2 linked regions of the Rhinolophus ferrumequinum genome follow. The protein of the gene in region 2 purifies or fractionates together with the protein of the main gene of each other region. This does not show direct contact. Links are inferred from orthologs where the notes say so. Each region holds a gene or a part of one and is shown on either strand. Other genes may lie near its edges.

Region 1 (7,161 bases), on a different chromosome or scaffold from region 2:
CATGGCTACTGCCACCAGAATGCTCTGCTAACTCGCTCTGTGCCTTTTACGAGGCTGTATCTCCAAGTTCTAGCACAGGACCAGGCATACAGAGGGTGAGAACTGGGAGACCTGAGCCCCAGAAACTGACACAGTCAATCCTAAGCCACACTTTTCCCCATGTGGATAGGGGTCAAAAAGGCCCTCACCTCTGCAACCTCCCTTTCTCCACAAGGGCCTGTGTGGCCCGGGTGCCTTCCCACCACCTTGAAAGAGGCTCTCTGGGGTCGGCACCATACTTGGCCACAGTTTCTTGTTCTGTTTGGGAAAAAAGTGGGATTTCTGGATCTTAATGGGAATCACCCTCAAGACCCAGGGAAGCATATCACAGGAACCTACCACCCTGCTGGTTGCTGCTGGGTGGCGACCAAGCTCTTCCTGGTGTCCTCTGAGCAGCTGCCAGGGAGGCCAAAGCTAAATAAAGGCCGCCCGGAGTCGGTGGGGGCAGCTGCCTGCCCAGCCTGGGCTTTACACCTCCAGGAGGGACTCTAGCATGCTGGGCAGGGCAGAAGCCACAGGAGTGGGCAGGGCCTGCAGGTGCACTGCCCTCCTGCCTTACAGATAGAGAAACCGATGCCCCTAGAATCTTGAGGCAGCACAGCTTACGGGAAGAAGCCACAAGAAACCAGTGGCGGCTGTCTGAGCAAGGTTGCCGCGGAGCCAGGGAAGACTCACTTGTCCCCTTCTGGAATCTGTGTTTTGTTTTGCTTTTTACTATGAGAGTAAATTACCTACATAACGATGATGACGATGGTGGCTAAAGTTTATGGAGAGCTTATTACATGCCAGGTGCTGTCCCAAAAGTATTATACACATTAAATAAATAAGGCAACCTGCACGACAACCCTACGGAGTGGACACTATGAATATTTCCAGCTGGGGATGTTGAGGCACCAAGAGCTCAAACAACTCACTGGAGGTCACGCAGCAAGTCAAGGGATTCAGAAGCCAGGATCTGAAACCAGGTGGGCAGGCCGAGGCTCAAAAGGCCACCAGGCTACCTTTTCACTAATCGCACCTCCCGTCCTAGGCCCTGAGCCAAATTCTTTTCAGATCTAATCTCATTTCATTTTTGCAATGGTCTTGTGAAGGCAAGGCTGGGATTAGGACCCAAGCTTCCTTGGTGCTGGAGATGCTGAGCCCCGTCAGCAACAGCCTAGAGGCTTTCCGTGGCAAGACAGGAAACGTTTCTGCTTCAGGAGTGGGGAGGAAGGGGGGCAGAGGGCAAGGTGGAAGGCATTTGCCACAGGAGAGGGGGCACCGGTCTCCACAAAGCAGGATAGATTAACCTCTTTATGTGACAGAAATGTGTTCCCAAGAATGGTCTTTAGAACTTTGTGAAGATCTTAAATGCTTCATAATAAATGACAAGAAATAGAAGTGCTAGAACTTTCTTCTTAGACTCCAGTGGCGTGCCGAGCAGGTACACTACCCAAGAGACTGCTGCTCTAAGGAATAGGGTGGAAATGGGACTGGGGATCCGATGTGGAGACTAAATGCCTTGGCAAGATGGGAAACGGCCCTTCTAGGAGTTTCCGGATACATGACTGGGAGTTGCCATACCAGAGGGTAGAAGGTTCTGAGAGGAACACACCCTCAATTTGAGACTATAACAGGCACAGCTATGGGGGTGCAGCAGCCCTGATGTGTGGGAGCAGGAGGTTAGAACATTAAGACTTATGAGAGCCCTTCTGTTGGTCTGTGGACACTGCTGGACAGGGAAAGAGGAGGGAGGACACTGGGGCTCGGGATTCTGGGGTCTGGATTTGGGGACAAATATAAAAACGGGCAGTGAATTTGGAATCAGATTGGGAGAGAGGGTTCCTGGTGAGAGCAGGGACAATTTGGGTGCCTGAGCGCAGCAGACCAGGCTGGGGTCAGGGGCAAGGCAGAGTGGGTTTGGATGAGGTGTTCCAATGCTGGCAGAGGTTCCAACAGGAAGCTGGTCTTGGGGTTTAGGTGGTGCCTGGGTCTGCAATGCCAAATAGGGGCAGGGGGTGTGGCTGGACAGGAAGCCACAACGGTAGGGTTTCCTGGTGTCATGGGAAATGGGGTCTACAGTAGGTAAGGCTAAAGGAGAGCAGCCAGAATTGGAGGCTCCATCAGGGTGGAGCTGGTAGTTGGGTCTGGAGGGGAACTGGGTTCCAAACTCCAGGCCCAGGTGGGACTACGGGCCCTAGTGGTGCATAGGTCTACAGGATAGAGTAGGGGTCCTGGGTGTGGGGTGGCATCCCAGGTTAGGAACAAAAACCCCAGGGGAGGCCACGGTTTCTTGTTCTGTTTGGGAAAAAAGTGGGATTTCTGGATCTTAATGGGAATCACCCTCAAGACCCAGGGAAGCATATCACAGAATAGATTCAAAGTATTGAGGACTCTAGGGACTGGGGAGTGGCCGATGGGATATCCAACATCAGAAATGGGGACCCGGGTCCAGACTCTGAGGCAGAGCTCTGGGTGTAAATGAAAGGTCCCAGACGGGACTAGGGGGCACCCCCAAAGCTTGGCTTGGGAGTCTAGACTCAGGAAGGTGCCTTAAGCGTCAACTGGGAGTTCCATGCAAAAATTCAGGGTCCCGGCAGTTCTGCGGTCCCGGAGTTTAATCGAGGCACCCTAGGCGATATTAAAAGTCCAGACTGTGGGGTGGGAATCCCAAGTGTCAACGGCGGAATCCCTGGCTGTATAAGGGATCGGAACTTTGCAGCGGAGTCCCAGGAGGGTGGGGGAAGGGGCTGGGCGCGCGCGCTCTACCTGGTGCCGCCAGCGGAAGAGGCTGGCCGTATCGATATTGGGGTGCGTCTCGTCTTCATCGTCAGACACTTCAATGTGGTCCCACACGCTGTAGTCCACCATCTTGCCTCTGTGGCCCAGCCCGCTCCGGCTGTGAGGGCGGCGGCGGCAGCAGCGGCGGCAGCGACAGCACGGGAGCCTCAACCTGCGGAGCCCCGCCCCTTCCGCTTCCGCCGGGGGCGCGCAACTCCGCCCACGCGTGACGTCAAATCCCTAGTAACCGCGGCGGCGTCACTGGCGACCGAGTTATTCTTAAAGGCCCCAGCGCGCATATTCGACCCCCGGGAGTCCCGGTCGAGACCTCGCCTCATCCGACGCGGGGTTCCCACTAGGCATCTTCTAGGGGTATACGGGCGGGAGCTCCAACCTCAAGCTCCCCCTCATCTCTCGCTGCCCCTCAGTGGGAGTTTGCGGCGGTCGTGGCGGGGGGTGAAGTTGGCGACACTGAGGGAGAAGATTGTCCCCTCAGCCACGCCGCAGTGACATCAGCCCGAACCCCCTGCAGGGGCAGGGCCTCGGCGACGAGACCCGCCCTCTGCCCCTTGTGAGTTGGGACCTAATTTACACTGGGGAGGGGTGTGTGATCTGAGAGGACCTTCCCTCAGGGGTGCAGGACCCTGCCTTGGGAAGGTCTTAGTGAAAGAGGGATATTATGGCCGTGCCCTTGGGGGGTGGGAGGTGGCGGCGATGTGACCCTGCCTTGGGGGCTGGTATTTTCTATGGGAGTACCACAGCCTCCTTGTGCTGCTCTCATCTGCTACCACTCCAGAGCCAAGATTCGCGCATACGCCCCCTCTGGAATCACCTGGATCCCTCAAATGTGTCTCGGACGCGGGTCCGCGGCGTTTCCCCGTGTGGCCGCTAGGTGTCACTAATGTCTAGCCAGCGGCCAGTGCTCTAGGCCCCGCTCAGAGTCTTGGAGAGCCGAGGTGCGAAAGGGGGCTTTCCTCGTACGTAGTAATACTCCAGGACTGCTCATAGCCCCTTCCCTTTCGTCTGGACGCGCTCAAAGAACTCCATTATTCTGAGTTAGGGCGACACCAGCCGCACGCACACTTTCGTAAATCCCAACCCACACTTTGATACCGGGATAAAAGACTCTGTTGCAGCCTAGGGCCAGGATTATCTCAGATTAAAGGGCACTCCGTGAGGGTCCGGGGGGATGATAGGAGCTTTAGACCCTCAGGTGAGGGGCGCCTCTTCCCAGGCTCTCCAAATCGTTTGTTTGGAGGAAGGGGGCTGGAAGGTCTCCAAATGGGGGGATTCCCCTGCCCGGAGAGGGGATGGGGCCATCCAGAAAAAAGCCCCCTCCTGCTGCCGCCCCTCCACCTCAGGCTCCATTCAAACCAATCAGTGGGCGGGCGGGGGCGGGGGAGTCCCCCTGTCTTTCTCCCCTCCCCCTCCAGCCCCAGCAGTCCAGGATCTCAGAGACCGTCACAGCCCGGGCACGCGCGCGCACGGACCGACACCCCAGCGGGTCTCACAATCGCGCACACACACTTACACAGCAGCAAACAAAGGGTCTGGACACCCTTGTCCCCTCCCGCCCCCCCCTCCAGCCGGAGAGGGCGGGGCATCCCCTCCCCAGCTCCCCTGCAAGGTAAGCTTCGGGCTGCGAGCTGCGGTGGGGAGGGGAACCTGGAGCCCTGGAGGGAGGTGGACAGGATGGAGGGGGTTTCCCCACTCCCCAAGAAAGCCGGCCCTCCACCCCGTAGCCATCTGAGGGCTTCAGGCCTGCCTCCGGACTGCGGGGGATGTGGGGAGGACCCCGGATGCCGGGGATTCCCGGGTAGTCGCAGGAGTCTCTCCCTGGCCTCGAGACTGGAGCTGACTGGCCCCAGTTAAACCGGGTCCCAAGAGCCCCAGCTTCCAGATTTGGGGACAGGGCGCCGGAAGCTCTCCCATCAGCGCCAAACCGTTTCTTATCTCCTGCCAGCACAGTATCTCCAACCCTGGAGATAGAGATCCCGGAGTTGTTTTGCACTGTCCTTTGGTCTCTCTCTCCCCGCCCCCCCCCACCCCGTTAGCGCATCCCATGCTGTCTCTGGTACCTGCGAAGTGGGGGTGGGGGGCTGGGAGTGCTCCTTTGGGCTATCCAAGCTTCCTTTGCTGCATCCGGTAAGCCACACACTTAGCTGCAGTGGGACCCAGTAAATGGCTTTGCCTTCCTGAGCCTCAATTTCCACATCTGCAAAGTGGGTAATGGCACACCGAGGCTTACACGAAGTCATGCATGCGAGCCTGTCCTTGCCTCATCATTTATATCTTAGCTCATTTCACACCTATTTCCCAAGTGCCTACTATGTGCCAGGGCACTGTAGCCAGGCCGTGGTGCCATAGCAACCAAGACCAGCCAGGTCCCTGCTCTTCTGACCTTCCAGACTGGTAAGGGAGCAAGATCAGTATGTAAACAGAGAAATACCCATGGTGATTTCAGGCTGTGCAGACTAAACTCCTATCAGGCACAGAGAGTGTTGGGGTGTGGTGGTGGGCGGGGGAGTGCTGGAGATTAAATAAGATTTACCGTTTGTATCTGTCTGCCTTGTTATTTCAGCTCCATGAGGGCAAGATCAGGTTCAAATCAGTGCCTGGTACACTGTAGGTGCTCAATAAATGTCGAATGAATTAAAAAGGGAATTAGACACAGAGTATTTCCTTAGTATTTTAGATCACAATGGCGGCTTTATCATGAACCAGTCCATCCATCCTCCCATTTTACAAATGAGGTTGAGTGAGTCCCTAAGACCCAGGGATGGGAAAGATGTTGTCGGAGGTGATAAGGTTGATGAGGTGTCATCATTCCCATAAAAGTGAGGATGGCTGAAGGAATGGTTGTGAACAACTGGGAAAGGAAGATAGTAGAGACCAGACTTGGGCACGGTCTCTCCAGGAACCTATGATACCCAGGCAGAAACTACCTCTCCTGTGCCATGCAGATATTCATCCATTCAACAAGTATTCAGTGCCTACTACATGTCAAGGGCTGGGGACATAGCAGTGAACAGAAAAAGGCTCCCTGCCCCCAGGGAGCTGATATTTATTGGGGGGAAGAGAAAAACAACATAAACAAATAAATATGGTAACAAACATTATGCTTAGAGCTGTGAAGGAAACAGACAGCTTGTGACAAGAAAGAAAAAGGAAAGGGTCCATTTCAAGTTGGATATCCAGGAAGACCTCCTGGAGGAGTGGAATTACTCTTCCAAGACACACACACACACACACACACACACACACACACACACACAAATCCAGACAAATGTAATCCTACTCACACTCTACACTGAGAACCTAAATAATATGCCTGAGGCCACACAACTAGGTGAGTGGCTGAGCAGAGATTTGAACCCAAATTTGGCATTTCTAACCACTGTGAAAAGCTGCTTCCTGCTGCCTCCACATGCAAATACTCTCCCCCACACACACTCATGTCACAGTCACACAGAGGTACGTCTAACCTCATGCCCACATAGACTGATGTGGTGTCACCCTGTCACATACAAACACTCCTACAGGTAGAGTCTTGTCTCAACTATATAAACTCAGACTCGTGGAAAGTTCCACCTGTCAGTTGAATATGCACAGCTGTGTACAAAGTCTCATGCACGTGGCCGCCGACAGTTTTCCCAGCCCCACTTCAGTGCCAGGCAAGGAGCTTGTCAGACTTGGATGCTCAGGGCCAAGGTGTAGACTCGGCCTTTATCCTCACTCCTTTCCCTCTTGTTGGCCACCTGTCCCCATATCTTCCTGAGAGAAGTAGGGGGTGGGCAGGATGTCAGGCTGGGAGAAGCCAGCGCCCCTCTGTTAAGCCAGGCCAGGGGCTCCCAGGGTGGGCCTGTGGCTGATTGCACTGACAAGCTAGGTGGGGGAAAAAGCCTCTCTCAGTCTGAGCTTGGTGCCAGCTGCCCAGAGCGGCCTGCTCTGCCATCTGGACCCCTCTCCTCAGACAGCCTGCTGCCCAGGGGAGGGGAAGGCAGGCTTAGAAGCTGATGCCCTGCCTCCTGCGCCCAGGTTTCTCCCAGGATGGATTGCTGCAAATGTGCATGGGTGTGTCCGGACAGTGGTGACATGCATGTCACCTCTCTCCCCTGGCCTGTGGGGCTCCTCTGGCCATCCACTCCTCCATTCCGTCCTTCATTCCATATGTTCTTGAGCACCTATCTTGGGCTATTCCAGGCACTGGGGATGTAGCCAGGACTAGCTACAGAATTTGCACAGTACAGGGCAAGAGGAAAATGCAGGGCTCCTGGTCAAAATTATGAAGAATTTCAAGACGATGATAGCAGCGCATTAAACCTTCTAAACGTAGAGCCCTGTGGGATTGCACAGTTCAGA
Region 2 (7,411 bases):
AACAAAATGAAATGGTTTATTTTTCTGTCTTGCATGTTGTTATTCAAATTTAAATGGTTTCAATGTTTTTTAATGCTTTAATCTTAATCACAATGTGATTAAAGACAAGATTCTATCAAATCATGTTAAAAATCCAATTAACACATTGTTAACAATAATTACCTTATCTTCCCAAGGGTGAATTCTTGAACTAAAAGGTGTAACAACAAAGAAAGTGTAGCTATCCTTTCACCAAAATATGCAAAGTTTGAAGTAAACTCTAAACTTCCACAAAATCAATTTGGTAAAACAGTTTCCTCTTTTTAAAGAACCCCAAATAGTTGGAAATTTCCACTGAACTTTTGTAAGAAAGAAAAACTTTCACTTGTTTAAAACAAAAGGTAGAGTTTTAAAAAATCTTAGATCCGTACTTTATACAAGACTTTATGCTAAGTACATTTGTCCCATGACATGTTTTGGTTAAACATGTGATCATTTGCAGTCATCTGAAAACAAATTCTCTTTCTCATGGTAGTGATCTTCTGAATGAAATGTAAATAAGAAAAGTTTTTAATCAAACCAGCTCCTAGCACACAGTTCACACTCTGTGACATTTGTTGAATGAATGAAATCTTATTTAAAATATTTTACAGCCATAAACTTACATAAACAAAAAAGTCCAAAGTCGAAGCCTTAAGTACTCCGACACACAAAACTTAAACTAAGTTGATGTCAAACTAAAAGTTCAAGTTGCAAAACAATTCACTAAGGTAATTATGGAAAGCCTAAGTGTACAGGACAAAATGAATACAAAAACGTTTCATAAATTTGGCAGAATTACTTTAGACTATTTCTTTAATACTATAAGCAAACATACTATTGCAAATACACAGCACAAATATACAACAGAAACTAAAACTCTACATTCATCTCAATTCCAGTGTTGTCTCATTCATGTGATATGCGTACTTCCCTCACTTTAAAACTAGAAGCTCAAGCCAATCAAAGATATTGGGGTCAACCCCCGTGAGAAAAACAAAAAGCAGATCTTCAAATATAATCTCTTTGGTAAACTTTCAAAGTCAAGACTATGTACTGCCAAAAGAAAAAATACCTACAGTCCTGATATATATCTTTCAAATAATTGTGCAGTCATATACCTTGGAAACTAGTAATTTATTAATAGATATTTTAATAAAAATATTTTCATGTTTTACACAATTATGTCCTGAACATGTGTGTTTTATTAGTCGACCACCCCCTGAAACATTCATATTAATTTATACGTATTTTGCAATGACACTCAAGTTCTGAAGACAAAGTTTCCTAAACCATCTTTATTGGACTGTTCCACCTTTGGTTTTTTCCAATGATTTCCTAACAATCTATGATCTACTTTAATGAGTTTCCACCAAAAACAAAACCCAGTGGTTGTCTAATGATTTACAGTCTACTACAAGTTCTATAACCACGTTTTACCAAATATGGAACACATATCTAAACCGATGATTTGAGGCAGTTAGCAATGTATTCACTGCAAAAAAGTCATTATTTCGTACCTTTTAGATTTAAGATGAACTTAAAGACTGTGAACATTTAATACTAGAAATTAGTCAATATACATAGATTTCATTGTTGAATTTCTATTTGGAAACGTTATGAATTACAAACTACTGGGCTTTCAACCAATTTACCACACTGGTGAAGTAAGTTGGTTTTATTTTCATCACATTATTTTGAGGTAAGAAATGTGAGCTTTCTAGCCTTGACTTATGGGTAAGCATTTCCTCTGCTTTTCAGAAGATAAACTAAGTATCAGTACTGAAAACCTGGCCCCAATGAGATTCAATCTAGCCTAACGGTCTATTCCCGGGAAATCCCAAACAAGGGGTGACCCCGCCTAGGAGTCAGGGTGAACGCAGCAAACCCGCTAAGCTTCAACTTAGGGCTCTGGAGGGCCCCACCGGCATCATGGCTGATGCAGACCGAGGCACAGGAGGAGGTGGTGGACGGGGAAGAGGCTGGTTTGTTTACTTGCAGCCAGAGCCGCCGCCGACAGCAGCGACAGCATCACTGGATCCGCCAAACCCAGCATCTTCCGCACATTTCTATTCTTAGCACACAAGTCCCAAGCGGATCGAAACCCCACTACTATTAAAAACACAGACAAGCACGTTACCCACCGCCCCAGCGCCGTCCTTCCTGCGCGCCGGCAGTGGGGTGGGTGGGGAGGAAGGAGACCCCGGGGGACGCCGGTGCATCCTCGCCTTCACCCCACCCCGCGCGCACCGGCAGCCCCGGCGCAGGAGCGCGGCAGACAGCCCCCTCCCCCCCACCCAAACACTGCCACCGGCGCTCCACGCGTTATGTAACCTCGCCGCCACCCCCCGGTCCGAGCGGGCGCCCCCTCCCCACGCCGCGCCGCCCGGCGGGGAGGGCCGAGTGGAGGGAATGGAGTTGCGCAGAGACTGAAGGCGCCAGGGCCGGGGCAGCCCAGACGCGGACGGTACCGCTAGGCCGGGGACACCCTCCCGCAGCCCCCCGCGCACCGCCGTCCCCAGCTTCCCCTGGAAAGTGAGGGGGTGCCCGTGTCATCCGCGCCGGGCATCCCCCAGCCTCCCCACCCACACCACAGCCTCCGCTGACCCAGCCCCCGCCCACGCCCCCGGCGCGGTGACAACCCCGACGCCCCCGCCTCCCCCCACCCGGCCGCCGCCCCCCGCCCTAGGGAGGCCGGGAGGGAGGACGATGCCGGGGGCCCGGAGGGGGTGGAGGCAAGGCGGGGAGGGGGCGCGAGTGGGGGCGGCGGCTGTTACCTGCAAAGGCGGCGGCGGCGGCCCCGCAGCTGCTCGGGCGGCGGCGGAGGATGGAGCCGGGGGGGCGGGGGGAGGAGAGGGGGCGACTCGGGGGTCCCCCTCCCTCCTCCTCCCCTCCTGTCCTCCCCCCACCCCGCAGAGCCTCTGGCCCCCTGGAGCCCGGAGCGGCCGGCGGGAGGGCAGGCGAAGGGCTGCAGGGGAGGGAGGGAGGGAGCCGGCCGGGCCGGGCCGCGGAGCTGGAGCGGGAGGCGGCGGCGGCGGCGGCGGCGGCGGCGGGCGGGGGAGGGAGGAGGCGGAGACTCTACTTGGGAATCGGATATCGGCTACAAATTCAATTCATCCCCAGAAAACACCGCTCGGGCGGGGGCCGGGCCACGCCGGCGAGGCGGCGGCGGGAGGCGGGCGGCGGCGCTGGGCCCCGGGACGCGCCCGGCACGGGTCGGGGGGCTGCGGCCTCCTCTCCCGGCCGCGCCTCGCCGGGGGGACCCCGCCGCCGCCTCCCCGCCCCCTCCTTCCTCCCTCCTGGGGCCGCCGCCGCCGCTCGGTTCTCGCTGCCGCCGCCGCCGCCGCCGCGGGGCTTGTTGTTGACTTTGAGGAAAACTCCTGACGTCAGGGGCTGGCTCTCGGCGACTGGCGGGAGCGGCTTCCCCGCGTCCCCGGCCTGCCGCCGCCTCCGCTTTCCTCCCGGCCAGGCCCGGGTCCGCAGGCTTCCCCGCGCCCCCCAAACCCGCGGCGCCCCGCGCCCCCTCTCCTCTCGCGAGAACATCCCCCCAGCCCGCCGGAGCCGGGAGTGGGGGCCGTCATTCCTGGGCGGGAAGAGCTGGGTTTCCCCTCGCCTTCGCGGCGGGCACCCGAGGCCGGGGCGTGGAGGCTCGCTGCCCGGTGAGCAGCCCGCTGCCTTCGGCGCGCGCCGCCAGCCCGGGGGCATCTCCGCCCGCCCCCGCGGTGCCGGAGGTGCGCGGCGGGCACACGGAGCCCTCGCACCAAGAAGTGCGGTGCTCTGTGCGGAGGGAACTCGGCACGCGTGGGTACGCGGGAACGGACCCCACCCATCTGCACCTCAGGTGTCAGTCCAAAACCTAAAGCAATTTCTCTCTGTCCCGAGAATCCAGTCCAAGTACACCTCTCCGGAGAGCCACCCACAGCGCTTCCTGCCAGCAGTCATAACCACACATAGTACCCAGGTTGCAATAGGATCGCAATCCACTCTTAAAATTACTCCTTTTTTAGGGATATTAGTTTTCATTGACTTTGGGGAAGCCATGATGTATTGCATTCGCTACGAAGACGATACCATTTCTCTCTTTGGAAGTTCATGGCTCCTGAGAATATTTGCAATGGAGACACTGTTTTTGCAAAATGGCCATGTTTTACCATACATCACATTCCATAAAGTTTGTTTTTTCTTACAGCATGTTTTGTCACTTCTGAACACTTTGAAAAAAACCATGTTATTTCACCACAGGGCACTATACCTGTTATGTCTCCTAATGCAAGGTTTCTTATTAATGCTGTGGCTTATTTCTGTAGAACAGTTTCTCCTCCTGACAAGCACTTCCTTCTCTGCTTTTCCATGTCCTGACAATATTGATGGTAGTCATTCTTTTGTACTATATCCCTGGTATTTATATAGTGAATTGTATTTATACAACTATGTCTACATCTTCTCTCTTATGAAATGCACATCTATTGGGATTGTGGACAAGAGTATGAAACCTAATAAGGGAAAAAAGGTTTTTTTTTTTTAGTCAATTTTCTCCATTTGTAAGGGTAAGGTTTCCCTGGCCATTCTATACCTTAAAAACTTGTCATTTTAAGATACATAGTTCTCCTGACAGAAAAGTCCTCAATTGCTGCTTTTCTCCTTTTCTCATATTTCCCAGCACATGGTGAACTAAGTAAACTGAAAAATAAAAGACTGTATCCTAATTTTATTCAGTTTATGTGTGTATGAAATATATGTAATTTATTCCCATAATTATCAGACTTCTAACAGTCCCTATTGGCAAAATGATTCGATTACAGTTCTTAATGTAAAACACAAAAATGGGTCAGATTTCTATTCTACAGTGACCCAATCCACTTTTATTTTGAAGAAAATAGTTCCTTACACCACCACCACTATAAAGAGTATCTGGAAAGCTTTTTAAATATTTAACTCAGAGTTACGGTATTCGGAATTATTAGATATCTCGTCGATTGCAATTTTTATTTGTTTCTAACTTTAGCAGCAACATATTTGGAAAAACCAAATTTGTCCTATGAGCCATACTGCCTCAAAATCTTTCTCTTAAGTCTCATCAGATGGTATTAAATCTTAGCTGGATTAAACACTAAAGTTAAGTTTCATATAAACTATCAATGGATTATATACTCTAGGCTTCCTGTACAGTATTTGAAAAATTGTAAACTTTTATTTCTGCTCTACTTTGGTCTTCTATAATAGTTTCATAAATTTCTATAATAAAAGCATGTTAGCTGTTACAGAATTATTTTATTTATTATAAAACTATTATTTATTTAAATAGCATTGTTCTTTCTCAGACTTTGCCATCATGAATTTGGCAGACTCTGTCAATTGTGGTATGATGGGACTCTGAACAGAATGTATGCTAGAAGTCTCTTCTCTTTATTGTTACCACATCCCAATAATATGGGGAGAAGCAGCATGTTCATCCATGGAAATGTCGTTCCTAAATTACAGACAGAAAGCCCTCATTCTTTTTAAGCCAGATATTCTTAAGGCTAACATCTCTCAGGAATAGTAATTTATGCATCTTAAGAAAAATATTCACTCTTCTTGACTACCAATGAGTAAATTAGATACTGAGAGCTATTTCTTAGTACTTCCACCATTTCTTGGGAGTAAGTTCAAGTTGAAGGTACATTTAGAATTTCAGGACATCAGATTATCTAGGGTTGGAAATTTAACAAAAAATTTAACAAAAATTAAGTTACTGCTTCTCTGTCTTATTAAAAAGGGTTTCTTGTCTCCAGTGTCTACAACAGGTACACAAAGTACACATAGAATAAGTGTTTATTGAATGAATGGATGAATGAATGAACGAATACATCCATGCCCCCTATGTGCAGTTTACATAGCACTTTCCTCTTGGGATGGCTTATTGGAAAGATCATGAATGCATTTTGGAGACTTGTTGACCTGAGTTCAAAGCCCCTCTCAACAGAATTTATGTCTCAGTCAAGTTGCTTAACTTTTCTAAGCCTTAATTTCCTCATATGTGAAATGACAGTTCCAACTACTTCAACAGCTTATTAAGAGAATTAAATGTGATGAAATATTAGATAGTATCTAAAACACAGTGAGTGGTCAGCCAGCTAAAATTCGTTTACCATAAATGTGAATATATTCACTGTAACAATAACTGCTACAACAAGTAAGTACTAAATTCTATCCTGGCACACAACTATAGAAGTGTATTTCTCATTCGTGTAAAGTTCTGAATGACAAGCAAGGCTCCTTTAAGCTTTATGCTTCAAGCCCAAGTTTCTTCCACATTAGAGCTCGGACATGTTTATCACATAATCACAACTTCAAGCTGGCAGAAGCGGGAAAAGCATGAAGAATCACTCAAGGAAAGTTTTATGTACATCACTTCCATTCATGTTCCACTAGCGACAACTCTCCCAAGCCACCTAACGACAAGGCAGGCCATGAAGTGGAGTCTAGGCTGGGAAGAAAAAGAAATAGTTCTGATGAACAGCCAGCCAGTCTCTGTGACAGTTGATTTCCGAAACAGCCATGTTAAGCCTACAGCTGTAATTAGTGAATATCCTAGATGATTAATAGAACAATTTCCAAAAGAACATAGTTTATATCCACGTATAAGTAGCACAAAAGTCATTTGCAATAGTAATCAGTACTAACTGTCTTTTTCTCTTTTTCACAAATGTCTTTCTTAAGGCATAGGTCAAATGTCTGTATCAGTAATTCGTGAGAATACCTAAGGAACAGGTGTCGCACTAATCGGATGCCACGTGAAACTGGGATACGTAAAGGCCATCTGGAAACTTCCCTCTTATTTCGTTGTCAGATTTTTTTTCCCTGCTACATTACTAGACATTCACACCGTATTGTCACTCTCTCAGACAGCTACGTCTGTTAGCAATTAAGCAATCTCTAGACATTACATTTAGTATTTCAGGACTCTTGGGTCACAGAAAGTTACTGACTACAATTAAATAACTGCCTGTGGGACACTGAGCTAGAATTCATGTTCTAATTCCAAAGCAACAGCATACATAATTATTATTCCTGGCTGTGTGAGAAAATCAAGGTATGCAAATAAAACTAATACATACATATTGTAATCCCAAAGCCTCATTTTGGGATATAATTTTAACTTCCTGAAGTGGTGTGCATTTCTAGTTGTTTCAGAATCTGTTCTATGGGGACTGGACTTTTCAATACAACAGCCAGCAGTAAAATAATGATAATACATTTCCAACCCTAGATAGTTACCTCAACTCCTTCCTCAGTTGTCTCATGTAATACAGTTCTGTTCCAGAAAGTTTCCGCACCCATTTTGAACATAATTTCTTCTGCTAATGAAAATACTTTCAGAATCAACTGGAAAGTTCTATATCTACACCCG

The links. Proteins that work in one complex are often made in the same cells at the same time.
Region 1: the proteins of AKT3 (region 2) and CDC37 purify together in Homo sapiens (co-immunoprecipitation; 3 studies listed by BioGRID and IntAct, counting the BioPlex papers as one, with this or other methods). This does not show direct contact. The link is inferred for Rhinolophus ferrumequinum from reciprocal best matches to the Homo sapiens genes AKT3 and CDC37.

Annotation. Positions count from the first base shown.
Region 1 is NC_046301.1:39,858,475-39,865,635, reverse strand, and holds the start of CDC37 (hsp90 co-chaperone Cdc37), read right to left. Parts: upstream 3,002-7,161; 5' UTR 2,890-3,001; coding exon 2,788-2,889; intron 1-2,787. UniProt on the Homo sapiens protein: Co-chaperone that binds to numerous kinases and promotes their interaction with the Hsp90 complex, resulting in stabilization and promotion of their activity. Inhibits HSP90AA1 ATPase activity.
Region 2 is NC_046310.1:17,132,923-17,140,333, reverse strand, and holds the start of AKT3 (RAC-gamma serine/threonine-protein kinase), read right to left. Parts: upstream 3,018-7,411; 5' UTR 2,796-3,017; intron 1-2,795. UniProt on the Homo sapiens protein: AKT3 is one of 3 closely related serine/threonine-protein kinases (AKT1, AKT2 and AKT3) called the AKT kinase, and which regulate many processes including metabolism, proliferation, cell survival, growth and angiogenesis.